3 linked regions of the Chlamydomonas reinhardtii genome follow. The main gene of each other region encodes a partner of the protein of the gene in region 3 in a complex. Links are inferred from orthologs where the notes say so. Each region holds a gene or a part of one and is shown on either strand. Other genes may lie near its edges.

Evidence for each region.
Region 1: CHLRE_12g508000v5 (region 3) and CHLRE_01g039150v5 share a complex: the UniProt entries of both Arabidopsis thaliana proteins name them as parts of the tic complex. The link is inferred for Chlamydomonas reinhardtii from reciprocal best matches to the Arabidopsis thaliana genes TIC40 and Tic20-II.
Region 2: CHLRE_12g508000v5 (region 3) and CHLRE_04g225050v5 share a complex: the UniProt entries of both Arabidopsis thaliana proteins name them as parts of the tic complex. The link is inferred for Chlamydomonas reinhardtii from reciprocal best matches to the Arabidopsis thaliana genes TIC40 and Tic20-V.

The regions. Positions count from the first base shown.
Region 1 is NC_057004.1:5,530,216-5,533,664, forward strand, and holds CHLRE_01g039150v5 (uncharacterized protein), read right to left. Parts: upstream 2,033-3,449; 5' UTR 1,899-2,032; coding exon 1,341-1,898; 3' UTR 502-1,340; downstream 1-501. Other genes in the region: CHLRE_01g039200v5 (uncharacterized protein), read left to right, coding at 2,195-2,325, 2,439-2,544, 2,700-2,868, 3,002-3,078, 3,239-3,334. UniProt on the Arabidopsis thaliana protein: May be involved in protein precursor import into chloroplasts. Not redundant with TIC20-I, TIC20-IV or TIC20-V.
Region 2 is NC_057007.1:3,016,703-3,020,806, forward strand, and holds the start of CHLRE_04g225050v5 (uncharacterized protein), read left to right. Parts: upstream 1-1,303; 5' UTR 1,304-1,356; coding exon 1,357-1,642; intron 1,643-2,339; coding exon 2,340-2,433; intron 2,434-2,716; coding exon 2,717-2,824; intron 2,825-3,254; coding exon 3,255-3,315; intron 3,316-3,593; coding exon 3,594-3,656; intron 3,657-4,104. Other genes in the region: CHLRE_04g225000v5 (uncharacterized protein), read right to left, coding at 1-208, 440-517, 670-720, 908-957. UniProt on the Arabidopsis thaliana protein: May be involved in protein precursor import into chloroplasts. Not redundant with TIC20-I, TIC20-II or TIC20-IV.
Region 3 is NC_057015.1:2,247,409-2,251,383, forward strand, and holds the start of CHLRE_12g508000v5 (uncharacterized protein), read left to right. Parts: upstream 1-1,174; 5' UTR 1,175-1,305; intron 1,306-1,412; 5' UTR 1,413-1,522; coding exon 1,523-1,549; intron 1,550-1,666; coding exon 1,667-1,834; intron 1,835-1,897; coding exon 1,898-2,001; intron 2,002-2,195; coding exon 2,196-2,526; intron 2,527-2,913; coding exon 2,914-3,049; intron 3,050-3,605; coding exon 3,606-3,787; intron 3,788-3,975. Other genes in the region: CHLRE_12g508050v5 (uncharacterized protein), read right to left, coding at 1-38, 132-293, 722-767. UniProt on the Arabidopsis thaliana protein: Involved in protein precursor import into chloroplasts. Part of the motor complex consisting of a co-chaperone (TIC40) and a chaperone (HSP93) associated with the import channel (TIC110).

The sequences.
Region 1 (3,449 bases), on a different chromosome or scaffold from region 3:
GCCCGCGTCAAGGTGGCTGGGTTGATAACGACCCGGGAGGGGAGGGCTCAGCCCTTTTCCTGCCTCCCTAAGGCAGCCACCTCCTTGTTGTTTTGAACGTCGGGGGGGCTGTGCGCGTTCTGGGTGGGTGGGAGAGGACAGTTTGTGCGAGATCTGTGGGGCTGTCACGGTAATTGACGGGGGCGCCTGAAAAGACAGATGAGCCAGTGCGGACCGGAGGAGGGAGTGATTGGACTTGCTGTTCGCGCGACTGAAGAGGGAGGGATAGGCGAAACAGGGGAAATCGGTAAGGATGTGGAGGGTCGGAGAACTTGGTTGGGCGGGGAAAGTAGTGGGAGGAGTGGGAGAAGTGTCTGTGTGTCAGGCGGGAACGTCGTGATTGAGAGGAGCGGGCTGCGGAGGTATCGGGTGGACTTTACGCAGCCCTCAGCGCCCGTTCAAATTTCCGCCGAGCGTGCCCTGCCTCTCATGGGGCGAGCCATCGCGCTGCGTAGCGGGGAGGTTTCTCTGAGTTTACACGCAGCTCACACACGCGGCTTCCCAAACAGCGCGCGCACGACTATGCACTCCCACTCACGCGGCGCGCCAACCGTCAGCCTCCGCCATGCCCCCGCCGTGCTCTGTCGCAGCTTCCCACACGCCTCGCTGTCCAACTATGCGTTCCCAATCGCGCCGCGCGCCAACCACCACGCCACGCGCCCCCCTGTTCGTTGGCAGTTGCGCGAAAGCCCGTTTGTGATCCCCGTGTGTCAGTTAAAGTGTTGGTAGTTGCGAGGATTGCCGCGCCGCACGCCGCACGTGCAACGTACACGCATCACCACTGCTGCTTGCCTGGTGACGCCTGGGCACATACTGGAAGGTGGGCAACGACCCCGGAAAACCAGAGCACACGTGTCCCCGCATCCGGATGTTCACTCTGTTATTTTAAGTGCTCCACAGCCTCCACTTCAAAGCGCAAGTACCGCGATCAAAGCACACTCTGTATGTCGCAGTGATCAACTCATGAACCTGCCCCCAGCAAACCAACGGCCTCCTCCGTTATCAACACAGCATGCAAATGCGCATTAGAACTGGTTCAGCGTCAGTAGCGTCTCAGCTTGCATCGTACACGACGCCCGCAACTCCCCTACACTCACAGTTGCACAACACGCAACTCTCCATCCAAAGTGCACCAAGGCTTTTTTCAGCCGTGCAAGGCGCCTCACTGCAATCATGCGGCATGCGGGGCGAGCCTAACACGCAACCCTGCGCAAACTGCTGCGGACAGCCCGCACCGTAGCGCAGCTTCCTTCAAATGGCCCCCAGCCCCGCACCGAATTGTAACAGCCATCCCTGCGGCTTTACCGCAGCTGCGCCTCCGCCGCCTCGTGGATAAAAGGGATGCGCGCCCATTGCCCCAGCATGCTGGACACGATGCCGAACACCACCCACATGGTGATGAAAATCCAGATGAAGCTCTGCGACTGAATGTACACTTGCGCGCCCCAGCCGGACGTGGGCGGCGTCAGGACCGTCTCCAGCAGGCGCGGCAGCACAAGGATGATGTCCAGCAGAATGGCCTGGACGGCGTTGAAGCGCACGAATCGGCTGAGGCTGGGGTTGTTCACCACGCCCAGGTACAGGCCAAAGAAGACGATGAAGGAGCCGAAAGGCAGGGAGTGGTACAGGCTCATGGCGGGCAGGAACGGCGTTATGCACGCCTTCGCCGCGGGGTACATGTGGAACAGGTAGCGACCATACTGCACTGCGTCGAAGTACGGCAGGATGTAGGGCAGCGCAGCCAGGACGCGGTCCACGATGCCGGGCGTGGAGCTGTAGCCCCGGCCCCCGCCGGGCGCCGAGTATCCGCCGCTGCGCGCGTGCACGGTCACGGCCCCCTCACGAGCCGGGCGGCGCATGGCTTGAGCTCCGATGGGGCGAAAAGGCAGGCTCGCACAGCCTAGAGCGCGAGGGCGCGCTGGCGTCGCCAGGGTGCGATGGGATGCGAGCGCCTGCATGGCTACTGCTCGGGAGCTACGGTGTACTCGGGTTGTAAATCTTTGGTAAAAGGTTAACTTCCAGTGTCAGTGAACGGCAGGACTGCAGCCGAAAGACTTCCATGCAATGGGACTGCAATTGCTGTTCTTTCTCAGATAGGTCTTCCAGCTTCGACTGTGGCGTAGAGCTGTAACTCAATTCCCATTATCCAACAAACATGGCAGAGCACGGGTTGAAGATAGCAGTGGTGGGTCCTCAGAGGACTGGGAAGACGCTGCTGTGCCGAGCGCTAGCGGAGCAGCCTATCCTCCTTGGAGAAATGTCATACCAGCCTACGGCTGCAGTCAGGTCAGTGGTGTCGCTTTGTCCTGGGCCGCGCATGTGCTCAAATGTCGTTTGCCAACGTCTCCCTCTGCGACCGGTGCTGCTCTCGGTGTGTAATGCTTTCTGAATCCCTGCAGGATCCAAGAAATCAGTCGCGTGCTGGGCATTGACCGCGTCAAGGTCCAGTTCTGGGACGTGTCGGGGAGCGTGCAGTACCAGTCCTACTGGCCGGTGCTCGCCAAGGTGCGCTTGATGGAACGGTGCACGGGTCTGACGGCAAGGTGCACGTTTGGATCTAGCACTGACATGGGGTAGGGGGGCTGGGCTTGGAATGGGCAGGGTTGGTTGCCAAGCACAGTAGGTCTCAGGCATGCGGCCATCCGCGTGCTGTTCCGCAGGAGGTGGACGGCCTGCTGATGGTCATTGACCCCAACCGGCCAGAGCAAGAGCGCGACCTGGAGACCTTCTACCGGAACTTTGCAGAGCCCAACAACCTATACACGCGCCAGTGCATGGTCATGGCCATTCAAGTGCAGAAGGAGGGCGGCGGCCTGGGCGGCTGGCAAGGTGCGCCGCTGGCGGGGGACAGTAGCCGCACACATATGCACAGGCTAGCAGCCTGTCCAGTGAACGTGCGTGCTGCTTGCCATAGTTTTAACGTGCTAAAGCGTAGCGATGTGTTCACCCTGTACGTGTGCAGGCCTTCAGGGCGGGTTGAAAAAGTTGTCGCAGTCTTACGTGGCCATCAACCCTGCCAACCCCGCTGCCGGCGTGCAAGTAAGTCTGGTATCACCGAACAGCACACGTGCGAAACATATCGCTTATGTGACTTCTGCGGCGGCGCACTGTCGTGCTCAGGGCAGGTACCCGTAGTTGGAACGATGCACGCTAGCCTGCTGCAAGCACCAACGCTGCCGACGACGCCAACCCGCTGCAGGAGGCATACTCGCATTTGGACGTCCTATTCCAGGGTGCGCTACAAAGCAAGAAGGAGGCGCTGGAGAGCTCATACATGAACCAGGAGGACCAGTAGTATGCAGGATAGCAGCCCCAGCGCTTCCAACTGCCCTGAGAGGATACGCTTAATCGCAAGTCGTCTCACGGTGGAGCCATGTACATACGGTAGATACGGAGCCTGTGCGGCATGA
Region 2 (4,104 bases), on a different chromosome or scaffold from region 3:
AGCCGCCATGCCGCCGCCGCCGCCGCCCTCGCCGGCACTGCCACCGCTGCCGCGTTGCAGTTGGAAAAGGCTGGGGCCGGCGCCAGCTCCGTCTGCCGCGCCCGTGCTAGCCCCAAGCCCTATCATACCGCTGCCGCTTGTCCCGCTTGCTCCGCTGCCAACACCATGCAGCATGGATTCGCCTCGTCCCAGCTTGGTCATAATGCGTCTGCGCGGACATCCCCGCCCAGCAGGAAGCGGGTAAGTTTACGTATTGAAATCGGCAAAGTCTTAAGGCAGAGGCGCGGATTGATCAGTGTTGGTGCGGTTTAAAGGCCTACTAAGTTTTGACTTCCTTTATCTACGATGTCTGCAAGAGCTGCTGCTGACTGTTTGCCATTTCCCCCGCAGCAGTGTGGGCGCAAACCGACCTGCGTGCCCGTGTGCGTGCCCGGCTCACCTCATGCTGCCGCGCTTAATCCAGGCTCCGCCGCTGCCCTGAGCCTGCTCCTCTGCGTCCGAAGCTTCATGGCTGAAGCTGTGGGACAGGACGCCGGGCGAAGGCAGGGGGGGGCCAGAAGTGGAGGCACCGGCATGTCTCCAACCGACATGTCGCCGCAGTCAGCGCGTTCCCGCGTGACGTGCAGTGTGTACCACACGGCAGCACCATGCACCAGCCCCAGCCCGCACCTTGCACGCGCGATGGTTTGGCCAGTCTCTGGCTGGTAGAACTCGAGGTCCCTGCATCAGTCAGGAGTGTGGCGTTCATCGGCCCACCTTCCAAAGCGTAGCGCAATTGTCCATGATGCTCGTCTGTTTCTAGTTTATGCCTTGACACCAAAGCTCAAAGCCAGCATCAATGCCATTGCGTGCAGCGTTGCCGAGAACGGAAGGGCCGGGTCAAAATGGCTTTGTTGTTGCTGCTTACTCTTCAGTCTGCAATTCCTCCTCCCTTGTCTTGCGAAATGTCTTAAACATTCTTTCTGGTGAGAGCGGCCTTTACGCCGTCCAAGGGTCAATGCTCAAACGCGCAAGAGCGCCTTACGCGCTGCCTTGCTACTCCATTTGTAAGTAAAGTGTCAAGGTGTAAGAATTTGCTAGGTCAAAGAGAAGTTACTTGGCAGACTTGCACCAAAACGGGCGAGCCTGTAAGACCCATCTGCTCGCGAAAACGCTGGTAATAGAAAGTCTTCACATGTCGACTGTGGAACCGGCAGTGGCAGCGCATGCTCAGCCGCGAGAACCTCGAGCATGCCCCATGCAGCTTCTGCTTCCATTACTGCAGTTGCCGAACAAATAGTCCGAGGACATATATAAGCGTTATATAATACAACGTTTCCAGCAACACACAAGACATTTGGGCCAGCTTCAAGCAAAATGACGTCCCTACACGCACTGTCCCCTGCCAGCAACATTCAAGCTTCGCGTTGTGTGCGCCGCGCACTCCCAGGCCAAGCTAGGTATGCATCTGTACTAGCCACACCCCGTCTACCCGGTCGCCGCACCGCGCCGAGCAGCACGCAGAACGATGGGCCAAGCCCCTCCGCCAGGCCGGTGGTGCTGGCGCGCTCTCTCTTCGACAACCGGGGGAAAGACGACTTTGGTGACCGCATCCTTGCGTCGATACCCTTTCTACTGCCGCTGCTGGATGGCCTGCCTTATGGTGAGCTGGCCCGCTTTGGCCAACAAATTACGTGTGGTCTTTCTTATAGCCACATGTTGTGGACGTCGTGAAGGCGCTGCTGAAACGAGCACGGGGATATGCGAGGCGGAGGTCGATGGTCGCGAGCGCGCGTAGCCTCACGCCCCGCTGGCACCGTACCACCGCTCGCGCTCTCTTAGCGCAGCGCCGTGTCGCGTCCAGAGGCTCACACACGGCTGTTTGCCACCTCAAATCAATTGCGGGACGAGTAGCGGCTGCGTTCGCAGCTCGCGCGCAGTTGGTGCGTCGAGGGTGTTGCAGCGCGACTACGCTGTCAGCTGGGGTCCACTTTTCTCCCTCCACAGGCTCCATTAGCTGCGTGCAGCTCGCCAACCCCGCCAGCGCACGCCTCCCCCCTCCCAGCCCTCTTCAGCCAAGTCTGCTGCAACAATACCTTCTACAAACATTCCCCAGCTCTCAGCCAATCCAGTCAAGCCAAGCCCAAATGCCCGGTGCTCCATTCCCTCTCACACGCACGCGCATCACCACACGCACTCCAACCCTCAACACCTACCCACAACCGCCAACTCCCCCTCAATCCCCTCCCCCACCCCCCGGACGATTCTTGACTATTGGCCCTCTTTCCTTGGGCTCGGGCAAATAACCCCCACTCCGTTCTGCACATGAACGGCTGCCCCCCCCCCCCGCCCCCTTGCAGCCAAGTTCATAATGATCCAGTACCCCTTCGTGGCCCGTGCCTTCGCGCCCGTGGCCCCCCTGATGTACATCTACCACGCATTCCCCTTCGCGCCGTGAGTGTCCGAGAGGGTGTGTCTGTGTGCGTGTGTGTGCGTGTGTCATGAAGTGTGGATGTGTCGGGAGGGTGTGGGTGTCAAGAAAGTGTGGATGTGTCGAGAGGGTGCGGGTGTGAACAGAGGGTGTGGTTACGTGTTTCTTCAATGGGTTGCACGCCCTCCCTCCCAAAGCCCCCCCTCCTCCCCAACCCACCCAACCCAACCCCCCAACCCAACCCACTCAACCCAACCTACACACCCATTTCCCCCCCACCCAACACCCATCTCGCCCCACCCACAGGTTCCTGGTGTTCCTGGCCATCTACGCCGGCATTGTGAACAACCAGGGCCTGCCGCGCTTCGTGCGCTACCACGCCATGCAGGCGGTGCTGCTGGACGTGCTGCTCATGTGAGCGGGGGGACAGGGGGAGGAGGGGAGGGAGGGGGAAAGGGGGGGGGAGGGGAGGGAGTGTGGGTGAGGGGAAAGGGGGGCACGGGAGGGGGGGGGTTATTTGCACCATTCCCAGCAATAAACCAGTGACACGGAGACGCTTGACAGGGGATGGGATGGGAGGGGACGGGAGGGGCCCCAACAGCACGTGTGCGTGTGCGTGTGCGAGCGTGTGTGCGGGCGCCGCTGCTAAGTCGAGGTACCAGGGGCAGCGCCGTGTGGGCACTTGCAGCGGGGCCTGCACGCGACCCCTACTGCCACACCGCTATGTGGCTCCCTTCCCTATCCGGTGCCCCTCCCCTTTTCAGTTCTTTGTCCTCAACCTCTCCCGTCCTCCTCCCCTCCTCCTCCTCCTCCTCCTCGTCCCTCCCCTCCCCCCCCCCCACAGTATCCCGCAGGTCATCCTCAACGACCTGTGGAAGGCGCCCACCGACCCCCTGGGACTGCAGGTGGGTGGGGGGAGTGGGTGAGGGGTATGTGCGTGAGCCCAACGGTGGGGTGGGGGTGGGTGGGGGGTGTAGATTGGGTGGGTGAGGGTGGGGGGAGTGTGTTCTTTTTGTCGGCTTAGGCGGTAGAACGTAGACAATCAACTCGCGGGGAGTGCAGGGAGAAGATCATTCCGTACGCTGCCTACCCCCAACCTACACCCGCACACCTATCCCTCCCTCCCCTTACACTCTCCCTCCCTGGATGGCTATCCCCCCTCCCCCCCCCTCTACCCGCCCAGGCCTACATCACCGCCTACAACACGCTGTTCCTGTTCACGTCGGTCTGCGCCGCATACGGCATTGTAGGTCGGGGTAGGGAGGAAAGGGAGGAGAGATTGGGGGAGGGGGTCGGAAGGGGGGAGCGAGGCAAGGCCCGGGGCAATTTGGGGGGGGGGGTGGGAGCTAGTTTATTCCAATTCCAAAGAAACCAAGACCCAGAACCATGGGGGGCTGTGATGAGTTGGGGCTGTTGGGGCGGGGGGGGGCTGAGATGCCCGTGCCTAACCAAACAGGTTTCCGTCGCCCAACCAAGGAATACAGTGCCAGAGGGGGGGGCCAGGGGGCGATGGGTTCGCGGTGGGGGCAGAGGGCAAGGGCACACCGGGTTTTGTGCTGCAGCGTTTCCCTGTTGCCCGCGTGGCCATCACTAGCAGCATCAGTGGCGTTACTACCAACGATGAACGGCAATATCCCTCAAGTGCTTCAAGAGGGGACATTCCAAAGCACGCTAGGACAATTTTATGCTGCCAG
Region 3 (3,975 bases):
GATTGGTTGCGTTTGAACCGTGACAATCGTCGTCGCATCTGTACATATACATGGTTGGGGTTTGGCGTAAGTGTGTGCCTGCCCTGGCTCAAGGAGGAATGGTGAGAGACGTGGGCTTCTGCGGGTCGCACCTGGTGGAGCGTCAACCGGAGGGCAGTTCCCCACCGCTATCACGCTTCCAGGCGGTAGCGTTGTGAGAGCGTCCAAGCTAACGGGCGCATTCCCAGCAGCCGTGTTGATGATGGTGAACTCGCTCAGGGTCCGCAGCGGCAAGTCGGTGTCCCCGGCGGCCCCTGCTTTTTGGGCGCACGAGGTGGTCGCAGGGAGGGAGGGGGCGGCGACCAAGGTTATCGGTCGAGGCCGTACTATCCAGTTTGGAAGCCGAAATCGTGTTGACGAACACTATCATTATTGCATCTTAACGCCGCCCGGCTGCCTGCGGCTTCTGCGCCAGCGCCAGGCTGGTCGCCGGTAATCGTGAGCATGAGCACGAGTTCGTGCACCCAGCACGCCGGAATAGGATGCCATGGATTCGTCCAGAGCACAGCTGAGGAGCTTGGGCTCAGGACAACCGCCGCGGCAACGGTCTTCGCCTTGGTGTTAGATTGACTACTTTCGCTTCCACACGCCGCGACCGCGCCCATGACCGCCGCAGCCCCCGGATGACTCGTATGCTTGTAGAGACTTCATGTTCCGGGCCTTGCATCTCGGATTGACCTACCGTCCGCGTGGACGACCGGGGGCTGCTCCTCCTGCGTCTCCGCCATGCTCCGGGCTCCTTACAGCGCAGAGCGCAGCTAAATGTGTGCCACTGAAATGTTTGACCGAACTTTGTGTCCCGGCTCAGCAGACGGTGCACGACGACGTCAAGTCCGGGAGACCATAGCCCGCCTGTGAGGCTCCGCGTCTGTGCAGTTCCTGGAAATAATGTAAACAAGCCCTGGCGTGCAGGTGAAGTACGTCGTTCAGGGAGTTCCAGAAGTTTGTGTCCAAACCGGTCGCTTTGTTTTTTTGCTAAGCGTTACAAATGAAACTAAGCGTGCAATTGAATCAGCCTGGAAAGCGGCGCCTAAAAAGCCAGGAATTTCCCAAACTCAGAGCTGCATGCAGGCTGAGTGCTTTGTCCCAGCCCCCCACAGGAATTCCCTGGCACTAATTTCTTCTCCCCTCTCTAGTTAGTTGATACTTAGAGGTCAGCTACAATCGTAAGAATGTTGTGTTCCCGCACAACCGCCCCTCGGGGATTCGGGAAGGCAGCCCTTGCTCTGCCCTCCCGCGCTTCCATCAAATGCCGGGCTGTGCAAGGCAAGCACGCTGGGGTATTGGGGCTCCGGAGCAGGGCTTTGCACATAAAATGCGCGTGCAGGTTGGCCCCGACGCGCGCTAATCGGCAGCGTTCCCATTGCATGCAGGCTCTGATCAGCAGCAGGTGGTGAGTGCGCCCGTTGAAGCGGTCGCAGCGCCCGTGCCTGTGCCGGTCGCGGGTGCGCCGCTGCCCCAGGAGACGACCGCGACGTATCCGATGCCGCCTCCGGCGCCCTACTACCCGGTACGTGTAAATAAAAGCTGATGTGGAGCGACAAGCCGGTCGCGAGGCTAGCCACTGCGATTTGGAGGCTCGGCTCCGGGCAGTCGACGATGGTTCTAATTCGCGCACACTCCGCAGGGTATGCCCGCGGACGCTGCTGCACGCCAGCAATACTACATGGCGGCCCCCGCTGCCGCCTACTATCCTCCTCCTCCGGCTCCCTACAAGGAGGAGCCTGCCTCGACTGGCGCTCCTTGGTGGATTTGGCTCGGCGCGGGTGTGATTCTGGGTCAGGTCCTTGCTAAGGTACGGTGACTTGCACTTGGCAAGTATCTTTCTCTTGCCAACGGGCAATGCCTGGCCGCGCAGGTCCAGGAGTATATGAAGAACCCAAAGACGCCGCAGCAGATAATGATGGAGATGGCCATGAAGCAGATGTCTGGCGCTATGGGCTCGCCGCCTGGAGGGGCGGGGTGAGTTGGGCGGCGGACGGAACGTGGGGGTGGGGGATGGGTGGGGGTTGCGAGCATGAAGAAGATAGTCGCGCACAGCACACGTGAGTACCATGTTTGCGGGAGAGCTGGGGCACAGGCGCGTGCCCACCCAACTGCACACTGCCTTCTGTCACCCATCACGGCCCGCTCAACACCTGTACACACGTGCACAGAATGCCTCCGTTCGGCGGCCCCGGCAGCCCCTTTGGCGGCGCCGCGCCCGGCGCCAACCCCTTCGCCGGCGCCGCCCCGGGCGCCAACCCCTTCGCCAACTTCGCGGCTGCTGCGGCGGCGGGTCCCTCCACCGTGGACACCACCGCCTCTCCTGCCTTCGCGGGCGCCAGCAGCAGCGGTGCCAGCAGCAGTGAGCGCAAGGGCGAGAAGTTCGCATCGCGCCTCAACAGCGAGGGCCGCGAGCCCCGCAAGCCGGAGCCGGCGCCTGCGGCAGCAGCGGCTGGCGCCGCCGCGGCGGCGTCCAGCGCCACCAAGCCGCTTGATGTCGTGGTGAGTTTCGGCAGGGACATAATGCGGTTGGGATGATGGCCTAGGCTGCAAAAGGGCGAGGGGCGGATCGAGGCAGCTAGTTCTACCAGCTTTCTAAAGGCAGGGCGATGTCGGGGGTGAACACATGACGGGGCTCCCCTTGCGCATGGGCGATATTAAGTCAGCAAAATATTGAATCAAAGTGGAGGGCTGGGCGGCACAACGGTAGTGCGTTGCCTTGCCTGCTGACGCGGCTGTGAAGATATTCCAGTGACAGTATCCTGCAGCACCCCGCACCCCCTTGCTCTCCCCTCTCTGTTCTTCGGTTGCTCTCCTGCTCCATTTGCGCCGCAATCCCTCACCCCGTAAACGCCCAGCGCTCCTCCTGCCCCCTTCATTTACGCACAGGAGCCGGTGGTGAAGGAGCCCTCCAGCAGCGGCAGCAGCTCGGGCGCCAGCAGCAGCGGCCGCTCGTCGTTCTTTGCGGACGTGGACGCCGAGGCCAGCAGCCGGGCCGGGGGCACCAGCAGCAGCAGCGGGTCAGGTGAGACGATGGGTGGGGAGAGCGAGGGAGAGGTAGGGCTGAGGCGGGGCTTAGGAGTGCGGGTGGTGGAGAGGAGAGAAGGGGGCACGAGAGGGAGGTGCGGGATGTAAAGAGGAGGGGAGTGAGCGGCGGCCGGGCGAGAGGCATGTGCGGTGTTAGCGGGTTGTGAGGCAGGCGGCGGCGGGGTGCAGCAGGTAGGGTTGGCAAATGAATCAATGGAGGGGCACCAGGGTAACCAGGGCTTGGGTCCTGCGAGTGGGCAGTCAGGGTGCTTGCGCGTGCCGGGCAACGCGCTGCTGGTACCTCATGGCTCCGTGCGTGGGCACCCAACCGAGGGTTAAGGGTTCCGCTTGCGACCGAGCCACAACTTTCTGTCTTCCACCGATGCCGAACATCAAAGCCTTCAGCGGCATGCTCGGCCAGGCCCCACGGTATTCTGCGGGCCACTCCTGCACTCAGCCACCCTCCAAGCTGTGCCCGAACCTGCCCCTGGCCCTCACTCCTCCGGACTCCTTTCCCACCTCGCCCGCTGCCCCCGTCGCTGCCGGTCCCACAGGAGCAGCGCCTCAGGACACGGGCGTGATGACGGACATGATGGAGAGCATGCTGCGCAACCCGGAGATGCAGAAGATGCTGTACCCCTACCTGCCGGAGCCCATGCGCAACCCGCAGTCCATCGAGTGGATGCTGTCCAACCCCGAGGTCAAGAAGCAGATGGAGCAGATGTTCGCCAGCCAGGTGCGTGGCTGTGTGTGTGTGTGTGTGTGTGTGTGTGTGTGTGTGTGTGTGTGTGTGTGTGTGTGTGTGTGTGTGTGTGTGTGTGTGTGTGTGTGTGTGTGTGTTGAAGAGCACAAGGAGAAGTAAGCGCAGACACTGTGTATGCGGTGCAACAATGCGGCGGCATACGGATATGAGTGTGTATGCAT